Mytilus edulis: one gene and its partners. The protein of the gene in region 3 purifies or fractionates together with the protein of the main gene of each other region. This does not show direct contact. Links are inferred from orthologs where the notes say so. Each region holds a gene or a part of one and is shown on either strand. Other genes may lie near its edges.

Region 1 (7,305 bases), on a different chromosome or scaffold from region 3:
GCGAAAAAAATGATAAAATCGTGACAAACTTCGGCTTCAAAACAAGAACTTTAATTACCTGCCATATTTTCACAACAACATTGACTGATTGAAAAAAAATTTGATGATTGTATGAAATTTATGCAAAAAAAATGATAAAATCGTGCACAGAAGACTAAGTTTATGATGTTTGTATGGATTGGTTCAAGAATTGGAATAACATTATTTTTCACCAGTCACTCATTTATTATGACTTTAAATACATCATAAATATCAAAATATAAAAATGTCAATTAGTCACGGTTAAAATTAATATTAATTAATAGTATTAGTAACTTCTAAAAAAATAAATGAAGAATGTGTTCAAAGGGACACAGATGATGCCCCCGCTAGCATATAACGTTATAAAGGGACATAACTCAAGAACTGTAAAGTGAAGCTGCCAAAAATTGAACTTAAACTGGGTTTAGAGGTAATAAGCATTATATATACAGATTTCATTAAATTAAGTGGAGACAAACTTAAGTTGAGAGAACAGAAACTAAAAATTCTTCAATTTTTCCATTTTTAAAGGGGCATAACCCTAAAATGGTATAATCAAAGTGCTTGTAATCACTGAATGGTAAAGATTGCTTCAATTTATCAGTTGGTAGTTAAGTGAATATTGCATTGTATATTGTATTGATTTAAGTTGATTCAACCTCTATTCTGGACAAAGAAAGATAACTCCAATTTTCAAAGAAGATTTCATAAAGCATTGGTTTTAGCGCATAGGTGATTTAACAACCATTCTGGACAAAGAACGATAACTCCAATTTATTGTCTTGAAACTACAAAAATGCTTGTTTTTGGTCCCTTGTTGGCCCTTTATTCCTAAACTGCCCCATAACTCACAAAATATATATATCCTAACCTTCACTTATGATATAAATATGTCATAAATATTGTGGTACAATTTCAAAACAATTGAAATACTTATACACAACTTTTTGTACTGACACTAGATAAATGCTTGTTTTAGGCCCCTAATTCCTAAACGTTAGGGACCATAACCCCAAAAATCAATCCCAAGCTTCCTTTTGTGGTTATAAACATTGTGTTAAAATAAGTTATTTTCCGGAAACCATCCCTCTTCGGACAACGCTGACGACGATGACAACGTGATACCAATATACAACCACAAAAATGTTTGCTGTCGTATAAAAATCTATAGGATAATACTTTGCAATTGAAGATTTTTTCACAGAACTTTTCAAAAATTTGAAATTTAAAAAATTCTGAAAAACAAAAATATGAACCCCTTTGAGAAACTGGAACCCCCAAAACTTTTTGAACCCCCTCCTTCTTGGAGCAATTACCCCCAAACTCAATCCCAGCCTTCCCTATGTGGTATGGAACTTTGTAGTAAAAATTTAGAGAGTTCCATACACTTAAATACAAGTTATTGTCTGGAAACTAGAAAAGTGTTTGTTTTTGGCCCTTAACCCAGAAATCAATCCCAACCTTCCTTTTGTGGTATTGAAGCTTGTTGTACAATTTCATGGACATACACTGTAGCATTATACAAAAAATATGTGCAGTCGTATAAGAAAAACGACTAATTTGGGGAACTATCTGACTTGTAAGTGGGACTTCATCATGTTCATAGTTTGGTACAGACATGACAGGGGACTATCATGACTATCCGACACATTTATGTTTGGTACAGGACAGGGGTCCATCTGACTAGACTAGTGAGATATCAATGTTTGGTACAGCCAGGACAGGGGACTATCGGACTAATTATAAGACTTCAAAGTTTGATACAGATCTAGACATGAACAGGGAACTATCTGACTAGTGAAACATCAATGTTTGGTACAGACATGACAGGGGACTATTCAAATAGTGGGACTGCAAAGTTTGATACAGGCATGACAGGGGACCATCTGACTCTTGGGACTTCATAGTTTGGTCAAATATGACAGGGGATTATCTGTCTAGTGCATGTAGTGGGACATCCATGTTTGGTACAGACATGACAGGGATCTATCTGACTAGTGGGACTCCAAAGGTTGAGACAGGCTTCACATTGTATTCAGTGGGGGACTCATTGGAGGGGGAGGGGATCTGATCCTGGATCCTGCTTACAGTTTTGTCAGAATTCTAACCTGCTTTTCGTTGCCATAATAGTGCATATAATTTTCTGTGTACCACCCGGCTTTGTTTCCAGATTTCACGCTTATTTATTAGACTTTCACGAATCATTCTTAAAAAATCAGCCAATCCTGTGTCACACTAAGAACCCTACGAGACCCACTTCAGTAAATTACATGTGAAACAAAATAGGTGATCTATTTTTCTAACATGTCTCATTTAGAATGTTTAGGAATAAATTTCTCTGTTTTCTAAGTTTATTTATTTATCCCTCCCCTTTTTTTTTTATTAAGATACAGGTCCAATAAAAGACCAACATCATCACCAATGAGTAGTCCAAATAATTATGACGTCTTGAAAGGCTATTATAATTTTTTTTTTTGACGCCTTACATCGATGTAAGGCGTCAAAGAAAAAAATTATAATAGCCTTTCAAGACGTCATAATTATTTGGACTACACCAATGAGATGTTCTTTGTCTTAAATTCTTAATTTCTTTGTCTATGTCTATGGGTACGTACCCAACCTTTATTTCGATCCGTTTTCTTAAATAACACAGAGGTTGGAAGGATTAAAGAAGTTTTAATGTCATTAATTATTTATATAGTTAGAAAGCGTGATTATGACAACTTAATAGAAACTGTGAGATCGATAACATGCAAAGCGAATAGGTCGATAAAACAAAAACAAGGTAATGCATTTGTGCTTCAGAATTGTATAATTTGGTGAATCACCGAAATTTCTGGCAGTTTGTCGTCTTGAAAGACATCACTTGGGTATTTTCTTTATCCCTGCATACAACAAATATATATATCCGTGTTCCTTTTGCCAGAATCTGTCGATTTCATGCTGATTGTCAGAGAGAAAGAATAACAAATGGTGGACTTCCTGTCGATGTGCGATGTACGTCATTAGAATATGTGCATATCTCCTTAGTTTTTACCGCGGGGAAATTTAATTTTTGTGACAGATAGATATTACAAATTAGAATCAAGTAGGCTAGTTCAAATCGGAATTGCTATCTACTATAACTTAATAAAACTAATTTAAAAGTTCAGATGAAATTGAAAAAGTATTAATGAACCAGAGACATTACGTTTTCAACAGTCGCCTTTTGTTTTGCATAAAAATACTCACGGTTTGTATGTATACATGTAAAACACGGGGGTAACTTCGATATTTTTTTGGTAGGGGTGTACCATTTTTGCCTCAAAAAACCTACCCATTTTAATATAACATTCACTGAAATTCAGTACCTATAGTTATATAAATATTTAAGAAAGAATGACCTATACTTATATACAATATTCAAAATATGACCCATGCTTATATATAAGCACTAACTCATCATCACTCATAATTCATAAATATACCAGCTACCCTTAAGTTTTTATATATGAATTGACATCGTTAGGTGCACATATATGTTATCGTTATATATATGATATGTAGATGACACTGATACCCCAAATGATCCTAAATCAATATACAGTTATCAAACGTAAATGCATTTTAATATAGGATGTCATTAAGAAGGTGGGTCATTTTTATATAAAATCTTGCAAAATTATATGACCCATATTTTTGGCACATCCCCGTATACCCAATAATAGGAAGTTACCCCCCCCCCCCCCCCCCCCCGTGATGTAAAATCAGTTACTTAGTACAATATTAATCTCCACTGATGCCCTTTGAACAATTCAAAATATGCAATAATATAATATACATTTACATACAGTATTTTTATGCAAAACAAAAGGCGAAAAACATACGGAATAGGTTCATGAACATATGTTGTTAATGTCAGATGTACAAGATACCTTTATGGACTTTTATATATTAGGTAAATTTCATTTGATAATTACATTTTTAGTTTAGAAACAAGAAATTACAAAAACTTTTTTTTTTTAACTGTTCTATCGTTTCTATCTTTTTTATTTAAACAGGAATACTATTCCAAACAGAGGCGGATTTAGAGGGGGGGCCCAGGGGGCCTGGGCCCTCCCTTTTTGGGAAAAAAATTTGGTTGCTTATATAGGGCATCACTGAAGTGTGACTGGAGCGGGCCCCCTCTTAGGTCAGTCAGTGGGCCCCCACTTATGAAAATTTCTGGATCCGCCACTGCCAAAGAACGTTAACTGTACCGGAATATTGAAATGTTTCTTCATATAAAATTTGTTCTCGGACGTGGTATGAAAAGACATTTATTGTCCGATGAACCCAAAGAATATCTTGCCTTAACATTTTGGTTATTTTCGTTGTTTGTGATCGGCGCATTTTCGCTATCGTGATCCGTTTTTCAACAGATATTTTTTTTTATATGAGACAATATCTGAAAAAGTCTATAATTTCCATGTCCCGCCTTTCACCAGCAATTATTTTTTTATTCAGGCATCTTTTTGGAAAATTTTAAGTTTCAGTACTGATTAACTCGAGTAAATAATGCACCAACTGCAACCAATTAAACATTCTTTTTAATATTTCATCTAATAAAATATTATAATATAAATGGTCAACCCCCCTCCCCCCAAAAAAAATCATGTTGTCCCCTGTTATTTTCTGAAAATTGAATCATTCAAAGAATATCTTAATTTAAAAGTAAGCAGCTTTCCAATTTTCACAAATCTGATAGATTATATAATATACTTCTCCATTACTGGTCTTATTTTGTTATAACTAAAGCATGTAAGAAAATTTTGCATTTTTAAGGGTCTTTTGAATGTTGTCCCCAGGGGTACTTTCCCTCCTGTTACCGCTGGGGGTTTTCCACCTGTGGACACGTTTGAAAGACCAAAAATTTATTTCTTGTAATGTAATGTGAAGAGCATCATTTCCTGAATGTATGAATCCATTTGTTTAGGTGAATAGCAGCCAGTTTAAAAAAACTGAACTCCCCAAAGATAAGAATTGGAGAAAAATAATTTTGTTGTTCTCTCCTGTTACAGCCTTTTTGTGTACCTTCTGAGAATATTTCATTGTCAGCACTATAACAGTACATGTGTTTTATACTAGTATCTTATCAAATTGATATGTAGATGAAAGTAAACTTCTACACAATTCGAGTAAATGAACAAAAAGGACTGCGTAATTCCTTTCTGTTACATTCTGTCATGTTACCTAATAAAAAGAAACAGCATAACCATAATCAGTAACAGGAAGGATGTTCAAGACAATATCACTGATGAATCAAAATATTAATCTACTATATGTCAACCATTTCATTTAATATAAGTTATCATCACCATATTAAATAAATTTCATAGTAATATACAATATATTGAATGAAAAAAAATAGTTTTTTTGCTTTTGATAACAGCAGAGAACATTGTGCAATTCTATAGTATAGTAGATAGTAACAGAAAGGAATTTATTTTAGAATTTTTCATTACCTAGGCAGATTTTTCATCTGTCAAATACAGTTTCAAAGGATAAATGCTATTGTTTGCTGTTATCTTCCAATGGTGTCCAATCTGAAATAATGTATTTTTCTTTTTTGAGAAAAAAATCCTTTCTGTCCTGTTACCGTTGTCCTGTTACTCAAAATTCTTTCATGTTACCGACATCTCTGACTATATTTTAGTATATTTCTTAATCTTTTGTATTACAAATGTTAAAATCAATAATTGGCATTTACTAAACTATTACAGGATATACTAGTAAACCACAAATAGTGTCTTAAAATTATTCCTTATTCTCATTAGAAACTTTTTAAAATTGATTCATTTTGGAAACAGGAAAGAACTGGAATTATTTTGTACCATTTTTGAAATTGCAATTGTTACCACATTTAACAATTGTTTGAATTACAGACAACAGTTCCTAGATCCCCAATGTGTGCTCTTCGGTTTATGCTATTATAATACCGGGTCTAAAGACTTTTTTTTTGATTTTTTCTTATTGCCAAAAATTAGACTTTTTCAGATATTATCTCGTATATATTTTCGTGATCCGTGATCATGGAAATTTAGTTTCTGTGAATCGTGATTGACAAAAACATCAACTCGTGAATCGTGATATGAGACCCCCCCCCCCCCAAATCAGGCCCCTCGTTTATGTCTCTGATATAATATAGATCATAAAATAATAGTATTGTATCACAGTATGTTAAAACTAATTCAAATCCAATAGTTCTAAATTAGCACAATCATTGCTTTTACAAGTCTGATCTCCACTCCAGTTTGCAACTTGCGCGCACATCTTCTCTAGGTCAAAAAATGAAACGTTTTTACAAAATGTCTTTAAGTACATGTTTAACTGTATATAAAAATTGCCGTTTTTGAAGAGCAAATAAAATAAATATGACAGTGCATGGCTGTTTTGCCATCCCTGATTAAAATATCCTAAATTAATTCAAGTCGGTAAAATAGTCTATAACTCTAGAAATGGCTATTTTACTAGCACCAGCAATAGAGTGCATTTCTTGCAGAGTGCTGGATAAATAGAATGTTATTTTTCTGTATCTAGATATAAGAGGAAGCTAAGTCACGGGTAGTAAGGTCGTCATATCGAGGAGCGTTTAGTACAGTTATTTTGTCATAGTTTGGATAAGTTTGACATGATTAATTTATGTTACTTCCCTAAACTATTGCCTCAGTTCTATTCACACGAGCAGATAAAAAGCAAATAAAATGCTTGAATCTGTATTGGAGGTCAAACGATCTATATTGGAATTGTTGTTTCACGAAATTAACGCAGAATAAGCAAGATATCGGAATTGCTATGGTTTGGTTAAGCGATTGACATGGTTCGGTTAAGAATCTAGAAATTCGTCATGGTTTTGGTCAAGTTTGTCATGGTTTAGATCGAAATAAATATATATATGTGTTTCACTCTAATACTAAAAATTGATTGATAGCGCCTGTTATTGAACGAAGTAACACTATATATTAACTGCCTGAGAAGAAAAAAAGCCTGTTTAACCAAATTTAGGGGGTGTAATCGACAAAGCGTAAATTAAACATGTCATGTGACTTTTCGTAAGTTTTTTTTGCAAAAGAATTTAAAAGTCACTGCTATTTTAAACTAGCTTTCGATATAAGTATACACAACAATACAAAGCGTTGCTTCTGTTTCACATAGAGTCTTTTCTCCGTATGTCCATGCTTGGCTCTGCCGGGGATATCGTGAGCGGCATCACTAGTCAAAGAGCTAAAGACTCCTACTCAAAAGTTGCAAAAAAGTAATTCTCGT
Region 2 (7,961 bases), on a different chromosome or scaffold from region 3:
ACCTTGTGTCAAAATTTCATAGATTTCTATTAACTTAAACTAAAGTTATAGTGCGAAAACCAAGAAAATGCTTATTTGAGCCCTTTTTGGCCCCTAATTCCTAAAATGTTGGGACCAAAACTCCCAAAATCAATACCAACCTTCCTTTTGTGGTCATAAACCTTGTGTTAAAATTTCATAGATTTCCATTCACTTTTACTAAAGTTAGAGTGCGAAAACTAAAAGTATTCGGACGACGACGACGCCAACGTGATAGCAATATACGACGAAAAAATTTTCAAATTTTGCGGTCGTATAAAAACTTAACAGACTTCATCAAGAATGTTCAATACTATTTTTGAAAGTACTGTTTATTGTTCGTGTTGTTATTTCAACACTATAACTTTAGGCAATGCATACTCAACAAGTGAAACTGCGTGCTACTGCTCACGGATGATACCCCCGCCGCAAGTGGATAATATTAATAGTGTAAAAATATGCAAGTGTTCGGTAAACAGGAAGTTGTTGAGTGATGAATCTGAAAACGCATCACACGGTATAGCTGACTTATATTGACCCTTAAACCAAATTTCAGAAATCCTGGTAGTGTAGTTCCTGAGAAAAATGTGACGAAAAATTTTCAACTTGGCTATCAGGTGTAAAAATGATACAAGTGTTCGGTAAACAGGAAGTTGCCGAGTGATGAATCTGAAAATGCATCACACGGTATAGCTGACTTATATCAAGCCTGAAACCAAATTTCAGAAATCCTGGTAGTGTAGTTCCTGAGAAAAATGTGACAAAAAATATTCATGGGACGGACGGACTGACGGAAGGACAGACAGAGGTAAAACAGTATACCCCCCCTTTTTTTCAAAGCGGGGGTATAATTTATATATTATACCCATTATACAACAAGACAAGAAGGTAAAATATGACAAACAGATATTATGGTCTACCAGTATAGGTTGAACAGGTACTAGAGCCAACAGGAACAAGAGTTACATGAAACAGGGTGTAGGGATCTCGATTCAATATTCTATAATTATATTCCCCACTTAGAGCAAAATATGTAAGGGTTCTGCAGAACCCAGTGCCTCACCTACTTTATGAAGCTAATAAGTAATATAGGAAATTTAACTGCAGATTGTATGTAATGTTAACAGGAAGAAAGACCATATATAAGTAACATACCGAAAAACAGGAAATATATTTTTACAAAATTTCCTTCTAGATACTAGCTTTTGATAATTAACAAGCTTCTGTCCAAGTTTGGCAGAAATCCAGGATAGTTTAAGAAACTGAAATTTAAAGTGATTAAAATTCCAAAAACTTTAATCATAGAGTGAATGTAATGTTAACTGGCAGAAAACTAAGTCCATTTATAAGTAAAATACGAATAAACAGAATTTTTTTTTTACAAAATTTAATCTGATTGAATGCAACCAATTACAACTGAGACCAATGAATAGCATTACCTTGTGGAATCAATAATTCTATCTTAATCTTAACCTTTGGATATGGAAGATGATAAATGGTGAAAAGCTTGACTTTGGTTTAAAAACCATGGTTCTAAAATACCTTCAACATGGGGGTGATAAATTTCCATTGGGACTTTTTGTTTTACAACACAGCATAAATTTACCAGTAATCCCCCTTAGAGTCCTTCCCCTCAGAGATTTGGGGGGAGGGGGGACAACCTAATCAAAAAAAATCTTCCAGATTCAGAAGGGTCTGTCTTCACACTGCCTCACAACCCATAACTTAACACACTATAACTTTAGGCAATCCCTGAAAAGGTATTATATAGTATATACAGTATAATGTGATCAACGTAAAGCAGTGTGCGGTTGTGTTCAGATGTGAAAAGAACCACATGTACCAGACTCGAAGTTCCCAAAAAAGAATTTGATTTCCATATTAAAAGTATAACTATATATTGATAAAAACACAATATTTACATACAATACACAGAATCTCAATTTATTCAATGATCTACCCTAGTTGATCTGGAGTCATTTGGGGAAAAATGTGTCATCAAATTTTTCTGGGGAAAAGCGCTATGGACACGTAAAAATATCCTCATCTCATGGCCAAAGCCCAATACATGTATGAATGCATTTTGACATTGCTGTTGTTGTTATTGGTTTTGGTAGGCGGCTTACTTATATAGTAATTGCGCCTTAAATTCATATAACATAAATATTATGTACATTGTATATACTTTCAGTCCTTAATTTTATTTTTAGTATTACGTTTTGGCGAGTAATTATATGAAACTTTGACGAACATGGTTGACTGAGTTACTAAGAAATATATATATATATGTTGAGAGACAAAAAAAACACACATAACAGAAGGTACATGTAATAGGAAAATGAAAGAAAAGCAAATGACAGTCCCTAATGAAATGTACATTATTAATTGATAGGTATCATAAAATTGTTTAGAAATTTTGACGTCACAACTTCTATTGAAAAAGCATGCATAATATGAATTCTTAAGATGTACAAAAACATATGATCTGACCATGCATTAGAACTATCTTGAACTATCTATCTTCCTTTTTTTTTAGGCAGTGTCTGCACGTACCCGCATGCGGAACTTCAACAAATAGTCAAAGTGCCTTTGTAGGCTACGTGTACCTGCATCTGGTTTTAAAATCAAATGGCATCGGATCAGGAATACAACCTGAAATATAAACCACACTGCCTTTTTTTTTTTACCAGTTTAGGATTAGTATCCTCAAAGTTACAGAGTAAAAACCTCTTGTGACAAACATGACCTTTATTTAAATAATTTGGGAACTGGGATGGGGTCCATATGTTCACCAAAATGAGCAATACAATCAGTTTGTTGATTCTTATTTGTGGAGATCATTATTGACATAATTTAGCTGGCAGAATAAAAATTCCGCTAAATTAATCAGGATACTATGAAAATATTAGAACAAATTATATTTACAAATACTGTTGGACGATAAGAATTTTAGGTTTAAGATAACTATATAACACACTGTTCAACCTGTGATTTGTTTTACGAGTCGGATAGCAGTTATTGGTGAAGTTTTGTCAACTTTTTATTTCACTGATTGCGATGAACAGGAGGTCGCCATTTTCTGTCACGTGGGAAAACTATTTGCATATATTTGTTAAAAAAATAAAGAAAAGAATTTTTTAAACTTAGTGTATACACTCATTTCAAACAATAAATTATAGACCCGGAATACATTAACACTCAAAAATTATATATAAGTTGCTTTATACAAAATCAAATTGTCTTTGCACAAATATCAGTTAAATTGAACTCTAAATATTCATAGGTTCGTTTTGTTTTGAAAGATCTGATTCCGAAAGATATATTGAAAGGCTTCCTTAGCAGCTTTAGAACTTGCTGGATACAGTTCTCAACCCTTAGTGCCCTTTTAGAATTTACTTTCAGGTAAAAACATGTAGACTCCTTAACAAAAAAATGCCAACAATATCTGGTAGAGTCTAACATATAAAGCTTAAAAATGAAATATAAGTTTCCTTTAGACTATAAAGAATGATTTTTTTTTGCTATTTCACTTTCAGTATAATTTTGACTGTGTTAATGACAATGATTTCTAGACGTTTCTGTCATACAAACAGTTGGTCCACAGGTAATTCGGGCCACAATATCACTTCGGCCTGAGTTGTTTGGGCCACAATTCCAGTTCGGCTAGTGTCGTTTCAGCCTCAGTTGTTTCGGTCACACTTGGATTTTGTTAACATATATTCTATAGACGTATTTACACTTGTATGCAAATTTGTCCGCCATTACATAAAATCACACAGGTTCCCGTAAACTTTGACATCATAATTCAATACATTTGACGTCACAGCTAAAAATTGATTGTTGCTTGACGTCAAAAGGTTATTAGGAGGTGATATAAGGTCATTCGGAGGCAAAATACAGCTTAAGACCAAAAGTGTAAATACGTTTATTCTGTTCTATATGAGGGTTTGGATGGTGTTAAATGATTAAAGAATAATGCCCTTAAAAAATGAAGATTAGAGAATAATCAGCAAAAAAAATGAAGATAAGAGAAAAAAGGGGTTAATTTTTTGAAGATTAGAGAAAAAAGGGGTTAATTTTTTGAAGATAGAGAAAAAAGGGGTGAAAATTAAATGTTTACAGAATAACAGACCCCCCATCCAGACCCTCCTATATATGTTTGCGTTAATGCACCTTATCACTATTTATCTGCCATTACTAGACATCACAAAAGTTACCGTAAAATTTTGACCTTATAATAGAAAATATCTGATGCGACAATGGAAAAGTGATTGTTGTACATGTACATGTATGATGTCAAAAGTTCAAGCAGAACAGATTTTCAAACAGCATCTGCTATAAGGTGCATTGTTTTGACAGAAGTTTTTTTTTAAGCCATTTCAAAGTTTAGTTTTTGAGGTTAAGTCTCCACTCATATACTTCAGCAATTGGTCAATTATATTTGGTTTATGGATATATATAGCCGGAGTAATTGAAAGGTACATGTCAATACAAATGTAGCTGTCTGGCAGGTTTCATCTTATATGTACCATGACCTTATTTTCATGCTTTTGTGTACACCATTATTATTTGGCAGTGTCTGCCCAGCTCTACATGAGGGGACGAGTAGTCAAATTGGCATTCGTAGGCTACAAGTCCCTGCATCCAAAATTTAAATGCCATCTGATTGGGAAAAGAAATGTGAAATATACATGGAAATTAAATGTATCATAATTAGTGAATAAATTAATCAGAAGTCCTATAAATAATTATATATATATAGTAAGTGAACAGTTTTTCTCAGTTAATAAATATTCTTGATATATACAAATGTATTAATATATATATGTGAGGAAGACATTTAAAACTTATAAAAAAATTGGAACAATTTGTTCAAAACTGCCAGTCAAATAACAGCATACATTGTATGATATAAAATATTTGGTTGTTTGTATAAAAGAAACTCTGAATCAATTAAAAAGATGACATGTAAACCAAAAACTTTAAGAAGAATTAAAGTTTAGTAGGCAAAAAATTCAAAACAAATTCGACAGGAAAAGGGTATCGACATGAAATATCACCAAGCATTAATATTTGAAGGTATTGACAGTGAAATATCACCAAGAATTTATATATTTAGGTTTTGTCAGCATGTCAACAGTGAGTGATAATGTGTTGTTCCAGTCAGAGACCACAAGGAAGTATGACATACCTCTCACTCATCTAGATTATCCATACATAGAGAAATGTACAGACACCAAAGAACTTGAGAGAATACTTAGAATCCTTAGGTAATTCTTTAACTTATTTAGATTTTACTTTTTCAAAAAAATATAAAAGATCATTAAAGGGATCATTTACTATATGATTGTGACTCCTCACAAAATTTTGAAGGTACAAGAAACTGTTATGTATAAGCTAAAATATCCACATACAAAAACAAATTATTTTTTTTAGTCACAAACCAAAAATTGAATTACTATTTAGAAAATAACTATTGTATTTTAAGCTTGGCCTTCGAAAAAAACATAGATTTTACTGTCTCACATTGAGTTTACTTAGCAACACATAATGGAGCTAGGTAAAAGGATATTTGCAACAGTAAAATACTTGATATTTTTATTAAAATTTCATGTTTTAATTAGGCAGATTAAAATAATTGAAGAATTTGAAAAGAAATTAGTACAACCTCCTCTTTTACCAAAAATTACCCCACCGTGACAGCAAATAAAATTGAGAATGGACATGGGGAGTATGTCAAAGAGACAACAACCCCACCATAGAAAAAAACAACAGCAGAAGGTCACCTTTAGGTCTTCAATATAGCGAGAAATTCCCGCACCCGGGGGCGTCCTTCAGCTGGCCCCTAAACAAATATATACTAGTTCAGTGATAATGAACGCCATACTAATTTCCAAATTGTACACAAGAAACTAAAATTAAAATAATACACGACTAACAAAGGCCAGAGGCTCCTATCTTGGGACAGGCGCAAAAATGCGGCGGGGTTAAACATGTTTATGAGATCTCAACCCTCCCCCTATACCTCTAGCCAATGTAGAAAAGTAAACGCATAACAATACGTACATTTAAAATTCAGTTCAAGAGAAGTCAGAGTCTGATGTCAGAAGATGTAACCAAAGAAAATAAACAAAATGACAATAATACATAAATAACAACAGACTACTAGCAGTTAACTGACATGCCAGCTCCAGTCTTCAATTAAACCGATTGAAAGATTATGATTTCATCATATGAATATCAGGCACAATCCTTCCCGTTAGGGGTTTAGTATTATACTATCATAACATATATGAGAAGAACATAACCCGTGTCAGGCCAATAACTGGTTTTTGAATAAATGTGTTTAGTTCCGATGCAAAGACCCTATAAGTGAATCAATATTAACACCAAAATATGCAATCTTTAATGACCTGACAACAGTATCGTAACTATATCCCTTCTTAATAAGTCTATTTAAAGGTTTTATTAGTTTCTGAGGTGAATACTGACATTTTTGTGCTTTATAAAGAATATTTCCATAAAAAATTGGATGTGAAATACCTGAACTATAAGAAGTCTGCATGTTGAGCTATATTTACGAATGATGTCCTTATACCGATGATAAAATTTAGTAAATGTTTTGACTAGTTTTTAATATCGAAAACCCTGGTGTAATAATTTTTCAGTAATACATAAATCTCTCTCGTTAAAATCTATAACATTGTTACATATATGAGCGAATTGTACAAGTTGAGATATATAAACACCGTAAGATGGTGACAAGGGAACGTCACCATCTAAAAATGGATAATTAACGATAGGAAATGAAAAATCATCTCTTTTATCATAAATTTTAGTATTAAGCTTTCCGTTAGTGATATAGATATTAAGATCGAGGAAAGGGCAGTGGTCATTGTTAGTATTAGCTTTATTTAAAGTAAGTTCAACAGGATAAAATGTTAACATTGTATAATCAACATTTTCTTTCATTTCTTGCTTGAAGTACTATTTAATTTTTTAGCACAATTCACACTGGTACCCTTTCTGACAATTTGAAATTGATAATAAAGAATAGCAGATTATACATGACCAAATTCAGTATTCAGTATGCAAATAAGTAAACATTTGTATACCGGTTCAAGATTTTGATCAAACTACATTTTCCTGTTCCATATCTCTATATATGATAGATTCACCAAATTTTCTTTTTCATGTGTCTTCAACAGATCAGGTGATGAAGGATTTTATCCAGATTTAGAGACATTTTGTGAAGAAAGGATTGAGAAATTAAATCCCAAAAGGTATGTTTATATCATTATAAAATAACACTCATTTTAATTTTTTTATCTACTGTAATTTTGATATTGAAAATAGTAAGCTTCAGAATGATTATTGATATCACCTACATATTTTTGCATTCACTAAGTAATTGAAACAATTATGTTCTTCAACATGTTTAACAGTATGTAGTACGTATAAATATGTAGTATTTTACAAATTTATCAGAATGAAAAAAATTCTGGCTAATAACTCATTTTGATTTAAATCTGATATTGTTTTACTTCTTTTCAGTGAGATGATAAATATTTCTTATAATATGGATTTTATTTTCTACGATGTCAACAACCTAAGCATACAGCATCAATTTCAGAAGCTAATGACTTTCAGAATAAACCTTAACTTTAAATACAGTTTTAAAGTTGTACAAATGTGGGTTAATTTATATCAAAACAGTAACAGTAGCTATGTTAAAGTGTTAGAAACTGATTTTTTACACTTTGCAATCATATCAAATATGAATATTTTGTTCTCTATCTTTAGTCGTGTATTGAGGAAAGAAGTGCCACTTGGCAGACCTGGAGATCTTGCTAAAGATGAATGGAAGAAAATAGATACAGATTTGAAGGTGAATTGTCTGGATGCTGTCTCATTTACATATACACCACATCTCTTTTTATTCA
Region 3 (6,940 bases):
ACATCTGTGTTGTCTAGGATGACCAGGTCATTTCAGGTGATGACCTTGTACTGAATCTAGGATAATGACATAAAAATCACTTGTTTAAGTATCAGACCTCAATTTCCTTCCCAAAAATCACTTCTTTAAGTATCATTCTTTAAATAATCCCTACTAATTTCAACACCCCTGAACAGTGAGATTTTTATCGCGAACAGTAGAATTTTATTACATAATCTGAAAGATGAAACCTTGAACTTCACAGGAAAAATACTCCCACTGCTGGGAAAAATCTTTTAAGAAAGTATCAGTTCATTATGTAAAGCCATTATTATAGCATTTTTTCAACTAAAATAGAATTTTCAGCTAAATGATAGCATCAAAGGCAGAAGCCTTTCTACTTAAAAGAAGCAAAAAGTTTATTTTTTTTCAATTTTACTAATCAAAAGATATTATTTAAACCTATGTGTTTAAAATTTGGAAAAAAATACAAAATTCCAATTTGTGACAAAACCATGATTTTGCTACTCAAATAAGTAATTTAAAAATCACCTATTTCAGTAAGTCCCCTGACTGACAATGCGTATACCGAGAAATAGAAAGCTTTCCCCAGTAGGCAGACATGGTGTATGATTCATGTTCATTTATAAATGAATCTGCCCCTGCACCATGTCTACTTTTATTTTTTTTTAATTTTCTCTGGCTGGCCCACAACAATTTATACCAGAGAAGGAAAAAAAATCATGCCCTATTAATATCTACAATTTTTTTCCATGTATTAAATATGAAGACAAAGATTCTCACTTTTCTCAAAACCTGAAATTTTAATATTGTCAGAACCCCACTCCTCAAGATTAAATTCTGTCAAACATCAAAACACATCTACATGTATTTATTAAATAAAGAGGGTGGAAGAGTATTACCCCAAAAAAATCATAAGCCGCTGCTTAGCATCAATTTACAGTGATTCTACTACTAAAAAAAGGGGGTAGGAGTCTGTTCCCACATGTACAATGTATACCCTGTGTGTCATTTACATTGTTAGGTTCAACGAGGCCAAACAATAATACCATGCCAGATTTTTCACTGCCATTTTTTCTTTAAGATAATTAATTGGCAAGAACATATTCCTATTACGGCCCATGAAATTCGTAAGTTTATTTTTATATTTCTTATACTTTATACAGAAAATTAAAAAAACCTGTAGATTTAATTAAGTACTAATAAATATCAAAGAAGCATGCAGGTACATCAAATGATTTCATTTTGAATCTTTTTCTGCTGTCATCGATAGAAAAAAATAAAAAGTTTTCATAAAATAAAATGTTTTCCCTACCTACCCTACCTAATTTTTTTCGGGGTGAAATAGGAAACACACTATTTATTTATTTTGGCCTTATACTTCATTCAAAGGTATTCATCATCATGATCACGTGTTCATAGACCAAAAAAATCTCATTTGTCTGTAATCTTGAAAACACTGCTGATTTAAAAGTGTCCAGGGGGTAGTCTTTGAAGGCCTTGCACAATTATTCAACATCTTTCAGCGTTTAGTTTCTTAGTTGAACTAATGAGATGAAACATTGAGTTCTAATAAAAAATCAAGCGCTACATGTAACCAGAGAAAATTAATTAAGGCTTGTTTTCTCATTCCTATACAAGAGAATTTTAGGAATTGCTGAAAAAAATTACAAGTACAAGTATTATTTTTTTGAGATTATTAAGGGGAGATCACTTAAACCTTATAAGAAAATTTGGATATATAATAAATTAACCAACATAAGAAAATTATCATTTACTTCTTCAAAATAAATAAAAATAACTTGTACACACAGTACCTCTGACTTTTAAATAAAACAATGAACATGATGAAAAGGATTTACAGGACTTTTTTATACCTTGAATCAGTAAAACATGCACATGGATAGTTTTGTTCAGGATTATTGAAAAGAATTATCTCCCTTTTATAGGCTCTAATTTATTGTCAATGAAAATCAATGTTTTTTATTATTAACTGAATTATGTGATCTTCTTTTTACCTGAATCTTCAACATTGTAACACAATATGTATCTAAATTTTTTTTTTTAAATATTTGTAGGGTCCAATAAATAATCAAGGATAAAAGAGGGTATCTGATATCAATGCCCTCTACTGCAGTGCAGGCTTCAAACAGTCCTTTTTAGCTACTCTTAGCGTCAAATTGGTTAAAATTTTACCGTGATTTATATAATCATCCTTGTTGTGACTTGTCAAAGGTCTCAAATATTATGTCGAAATCGATGGGTCACTGTGAAAACTGTTAAAATATGGAAAAATAAAGGTTTGCAGGTAGGTGAAACTTACATAAATGAAGAGATAAATGAAAAATGAACAGATTGATGCCCGATTTACATAATTCCAAGGCCGTCAGTCGACATGAGAAGCGATGAAGCAGCGCATCTATTTTGGGTGGGCAAATATCCACTTTTTTATATGGGACGAGCTCTGACATCCCACGGCCCAAGCTTGTCTGGCAAAACAGCCGTTGGACCGACCGCTTGAATTTTTGACCCACACAACAATCACTTTTTCATTGCGGTGTCAGATATTTTGCTTTATGACGTTAAAATTTAACGGTAACCTGTATGAATTCCAGTAATTGCGGACAAATGCTAGCGATAAGGTGTATTAAATCCCACTATAGCAGACATTGCCATTCTCAAGAGGTCCCGTCCCGCCCATCTTTGCAAGGAAAAAGGGCGTTTACAAATTTCTTTTTTTCGTTACAACAGAAATAATCCAATTCAAAGATAGAACCTTTTGTTTTCTATCGTAAAATAAGTACGGTGCCGGCAAATATTTAGATCATGACAAATGACGTCTACCTTTTCCAAAAGATTAGCGATATGATACGATACACTCGCCATTTTTCTTGTTTCAACAGAGAGCAAAGATGATTGAATTTATCTGTCAGTTCTGTTATATTTCTTCTTTCTCTGTTTTTTGTGTGTCGGCTTCACATGCCAAAACAATTTTATTTTCGCAGAGAAATGGCAGTTTCCGCTTAGCGACCTCTATGTGACAAGGGACACAACTTTTCTTTTTTTTCTAATAGATTGCAGCCCAATCTTTAAACAAGTTGCTTTCTTTAAAAAAAGAAATGCAATCGTAAACCCAAATGCTTGTTTGGTATTAAATATTAGATAATTGTTTACTTAAGATGTATTGTTTTATATAATTATTGTGTATTATAGATGTGCACATGTTTGTCAATAGACAATAGACAATACTTTATTAATAAACCTCAGACACATAGGTGTACAAGAAGACATCATATATACACGTATACACATGTTTATACTCAATACATTCACACTAAACATAATAATGCTACATACATGAGAAAATATAGCAAATGTCAATTTACAAACTACCATAACTTTCAACTAAAAACCAACATAAATCACAAGTATCGTGTAAGAATTTTTAAAAATATTGCCAAGTTTTTGTAAAGTTCTTCATGACAAAATGTTAATGGGGTTTTGAAAATGTAATTTGAGCATTAATTTATACATAATGGAAGATAAATTGTTATTTTCCGATAACAAGTTATTCCAAAACAACACCATTTTACGTTTAATAATGGTTTCCAAAGGGAATCTTCCGAGTTCCCCATACACCATATAATTTGGTGTACTGCTTCTTAATTTCAAAATGTTTTTGCAAAATTGAAGGTGTATTTTCTCAATGCTTTCTTTATTTTCAAATCCTCATACCTCTGAAGCATATAATAAAACAGGACTAACCAATGAGTCAAAAAGTTTTAGCTGCAAATCGACGGGAATACATATATTTTTAATTTTTCGGTAAAGAGCATACAAAGACTTCTGTGCTTGAACAAGAAGTTTTTTTCGTGCTGTACAAAAGCTACCGTTGTAATTGAAAAGTACACCAAGGTAGCAGTAGGAATCAACTATTTCAATTTTTTCACCATATATCATAAAATTCTGATTTCTTTTTACTTTCCTTTTACTAAAAATCACTACTTTAGTTTTGCTTGTGTTAATCTTAAGCTTCCATTTTTTACAATATTCTTCAAAACATACAAGGGTTTTTTGTAATCCTTCTGCACTTTCAGACAATAGCGCAGTATCATCTGCGTACAGTATAATAAACCATTTAACATACATTTCTAATGATTCCAAGCACAGCTTTGAAATATTATTTATACTTTCTATATTATTTTCCACAAAATAATTTTCTAAATCATTTAGAAACAAAGAAAATAAAAAAGGTGATAGATTTTCACCTTGTTTTACTCCTGTATGAGATATAAAAAATTCGGAAAATTCATTTCCTTTCTTGACACATGTTTTTATATTTTGATACATATTATAGATCACATTAAATAGTTTACCTTTAATGTTTGATTTTTGCATTTTTTGCCACAATCCTGACCTCCATACAGTGTCAAAAGCGCTCTTAAAGTCTATAAAAGTGCAAAATAGCTTCTTACCAAATGAAAAATATATAGTAATTAAAGAATACAATACAAATATATTGTCAACAGTAGAGAATCCTCTACGAAAACCTGCTTGTGCCTTTGAAATCAGGTCTACGTGATCTGCATAATTATTTAACCTGTAATTCAACATGGCAGAAAAAGTTTTACTAAAGCATGAATTCAAAGTGATTCCTCTGTACATTTCGGGATCAGATCTTGATCCTTTATTTTTAAATATAGTAATCATGATTCCATTAGACCAACTGTCAGGAACAATTCCAGTATCTAAAATCAAATTGAATAGCTTAACATAAATTGGCATTAAATCGTCAATTGTATTCTTTATATACTCATTTAAAATTTCATCACTACCTGAAGCTTTGCCATTTTTTAAGTTTGAAACAACTTTTTTAATTTCATCTTCTGTTACTGGACTGTTTAAAAATAACTCAACATCGTCTGGTAGAGTATCAAATTCCAAATCTTGTTCGAAATCATTTTCTGTCTCAACAGTTTCATTTAGTATTTTAAAATGATCATACAATGCTTTTAGAGATATATCGTCATTGTTATCTTTTTTTTTACTATCATTTAGATTATTAAGGATTTTCCATAGAGCTTTTGTATCCTTTTTAGAAATGTTACGCAACTCATCAGCGGCACTGAGCTCTCTGTTGATAGTTTGCAAAAGATTTATTTAATGTTATTTTATGTTCTTTACTAGCTTGTCTCATTTTACTTCTGTTTTCAGCATTTTTCAAAAAACTATATCTCTTTCGAGCTTTATGAAATTTTTTTCTACTCATCGAGCATTTTCTATTAAACCAAGGTTTTGAATTTTCATGTTTGTAAAAATGTTTATGTTTATTTACTTTCCCAAACGTTTCTGCTGCCGCATCTTTAAAATTTTTGCTGATATCTAAAACTATATTGTTTATATCATTTTGAGTTGCATCATTATTTACGGACAATTTGTCCAGTTTATTCATAACAGTGGTCAAAATACCTTCGGAATCATTGTGAATTCGATCAACGTATTCAGATTTCTGTTCACTCTTCCACCTGACAAAAGTTTTATCATTTCTATTGTTGATAACAATTGAATCTGATTTACTAAATGTGGCCTGAAGTCTAAAATTTATAAAAGAATGACAATCAGAATATAACGGTATAAAGTCAGCAATTTCAAAATAAACAATCAAAGGGAAGAGCATTGATGAAATAATTAAATAATCAACAACACTTGAATCGTTACATGTTTTCTCCCCAATATCTTTATCTGATCCAACTCTTGAATTTGCAATATATAAATTCAGGGGTTAAGAAATCCACTAGACCGACGCCCGGGACTACAACATTTAGACCTCGGGCAATCAAAACTGGTAACCAAAAATGCCAGACGGACTAGTAACAAAAAATTCTTGGCGTTTCTAAAATTGAAAGGGGAAAATCCCCTCATCGCTTTTCTATCTTATCCAATCAGATTCCACTACGTCATCCGGGATTCCCAGAAATTGAACTAATGTTGTACAAGTTTTAAAATAGAACAAATAACTCTGGGTGGATCTTGTACTTTCAATATCGATGTGTCAGTACAGGAGGTGGTATTGTACATTGCTTATGCAACCTGATTTTACCTCCTTCTGATTAATTTATGCAATATAAATGTGAATCCCTTTTGACAGCAGAAACCTGACTTTTGTCAGAAATAAATTTGAAACATTTGCTGCTAATTCTTTTACACAAACGTGATGATGCTATTGTATCTGATAAAACCCCTCCAATCCTTTTACATACCCACGTATAGCAGTGATCAAGACTTGTATCATCCCCGGATTTGGTCAACTCATTATATCAGAATTTTCAGTGAATATTCAATTATCGATTAATTGAATATATATATGCTAATGGAATATTTTTTGCTGATATAAGTTTTAAATATCCAATTTGCAAAAATCTACTGTACAATGCCGTGAATGGATAAAAATTGTTAAGTTTATAGAATTCATCTTTATTGCAGCAAACTCTGAATTTGTAAGGCATACTAGGGCTAGCAGGTCAGTTTTGTTGGGCTAGTAGTTCTTCCAACAGGGCTAGTAAAATATTGCAACCAATTAGCCCTGGGCTAGTGAGCTATAACAAAATTTCTTAACCCCTGAAATTATTTTTTCTGCACAACTCTAACAGTCTATGACCATACTTATTAGGTCTACATGTACACTGAGACACTCTTTGTAAGGTGATTTTGTTTCGAGTCAGATTCTCATAATCATACAAATAATCTAATATATCAGCATCACAATCTAAATCAAACATACTAACAATTGACTCATCAGGTATAATATAATCGGGTAAAGACCCAGTTTTTGAGTTAAAATCGCCAACTAGGGCAATATAACAATTTTCAGTGTTTGTAAGGATATTCAATTCATTTTCCAATTCTTCAAAAGCTTCTATAGTAGAATACTTAGAATTTT

The links.
Region 1: the proteins of cullin-associated NEDD8-dissociated protein 1-like (region 3) and DCN1-like protein 3 purify together in Homo sapiens (affinity purification with western blotting; 3 studies listed by BioGRID, with this or other methods). This does not show direct contact. The link is inferred for Mytilus edulis from reciprocal best matches to the Homo sapiens genes CAND1 and DCUN1D3.
Region 2: the proteins of cullin-associated NEDD8-dissociated protein 1-like (region 3) and cullin-2-like purify together in Homo sapiens (affinity purification with western blotting; 7 studies listed by BioGRID and IntAct, with this or other methods). This does not show direct contact. The link is inferred for Mytilus edulis from reciprocal best matches to the Homo sapiens genes CAND1 and CUL2.

Annotation. Positions count from the first base shown.
Region 1 is NC_092352.1:76,469,299-76,476,603, reverse strand, and holds the start of DCN1-like protein 3, read right to left. Parts: upstream 3,026-7,305; 5' UTR 2,850-3,025; intron 1-2,849. UniProt on the Homo sapiens protein: Contributes to the neddylation of all cullins by transferring NEDD8 from N-terminally acetylated NEDD8-conjugating E2s enzyme to different cullin C-terminal domain-RBX complexes and may play a role in the cell cycle progression by regulating the SCF ubiquitin E3 ligase complex, after UV damage.
Region 2 is NC_092345.1:87,330,141-87,338,101, forward strand, and holds the start of cullin-2-like, read right to left. Parts: upstream 3,104-7,961; 5' UTR 2,994-3,103; intron 1-2,993. Other genes in the region: sperm-associated antigen 1-like, read left to right, coding at 5,149-5,288, 7,227-7,301, 7,822-7,906.
Region 3 is NC_092355.1:5,869,173-5,876,112, reverse strand, and holds the start of cullin-associated NEDD8-dissociated protein 1-like, read right to left. Parts: upstream 3,050-6,940; 5' UTR 2,887-3,049; coding exon 2,845-2,886; intron 1-2,844. UniProt on the Homo sapiens protein: Key assembly factor of SCF (SKP1-CUL1-F-box protein) E3 ubiquitin ligase complexes that promotes the exchange of the substrate-recognition F-box subunit in SCF complexes, thereby playing a key role in the cellular repertoire of SCF complexes.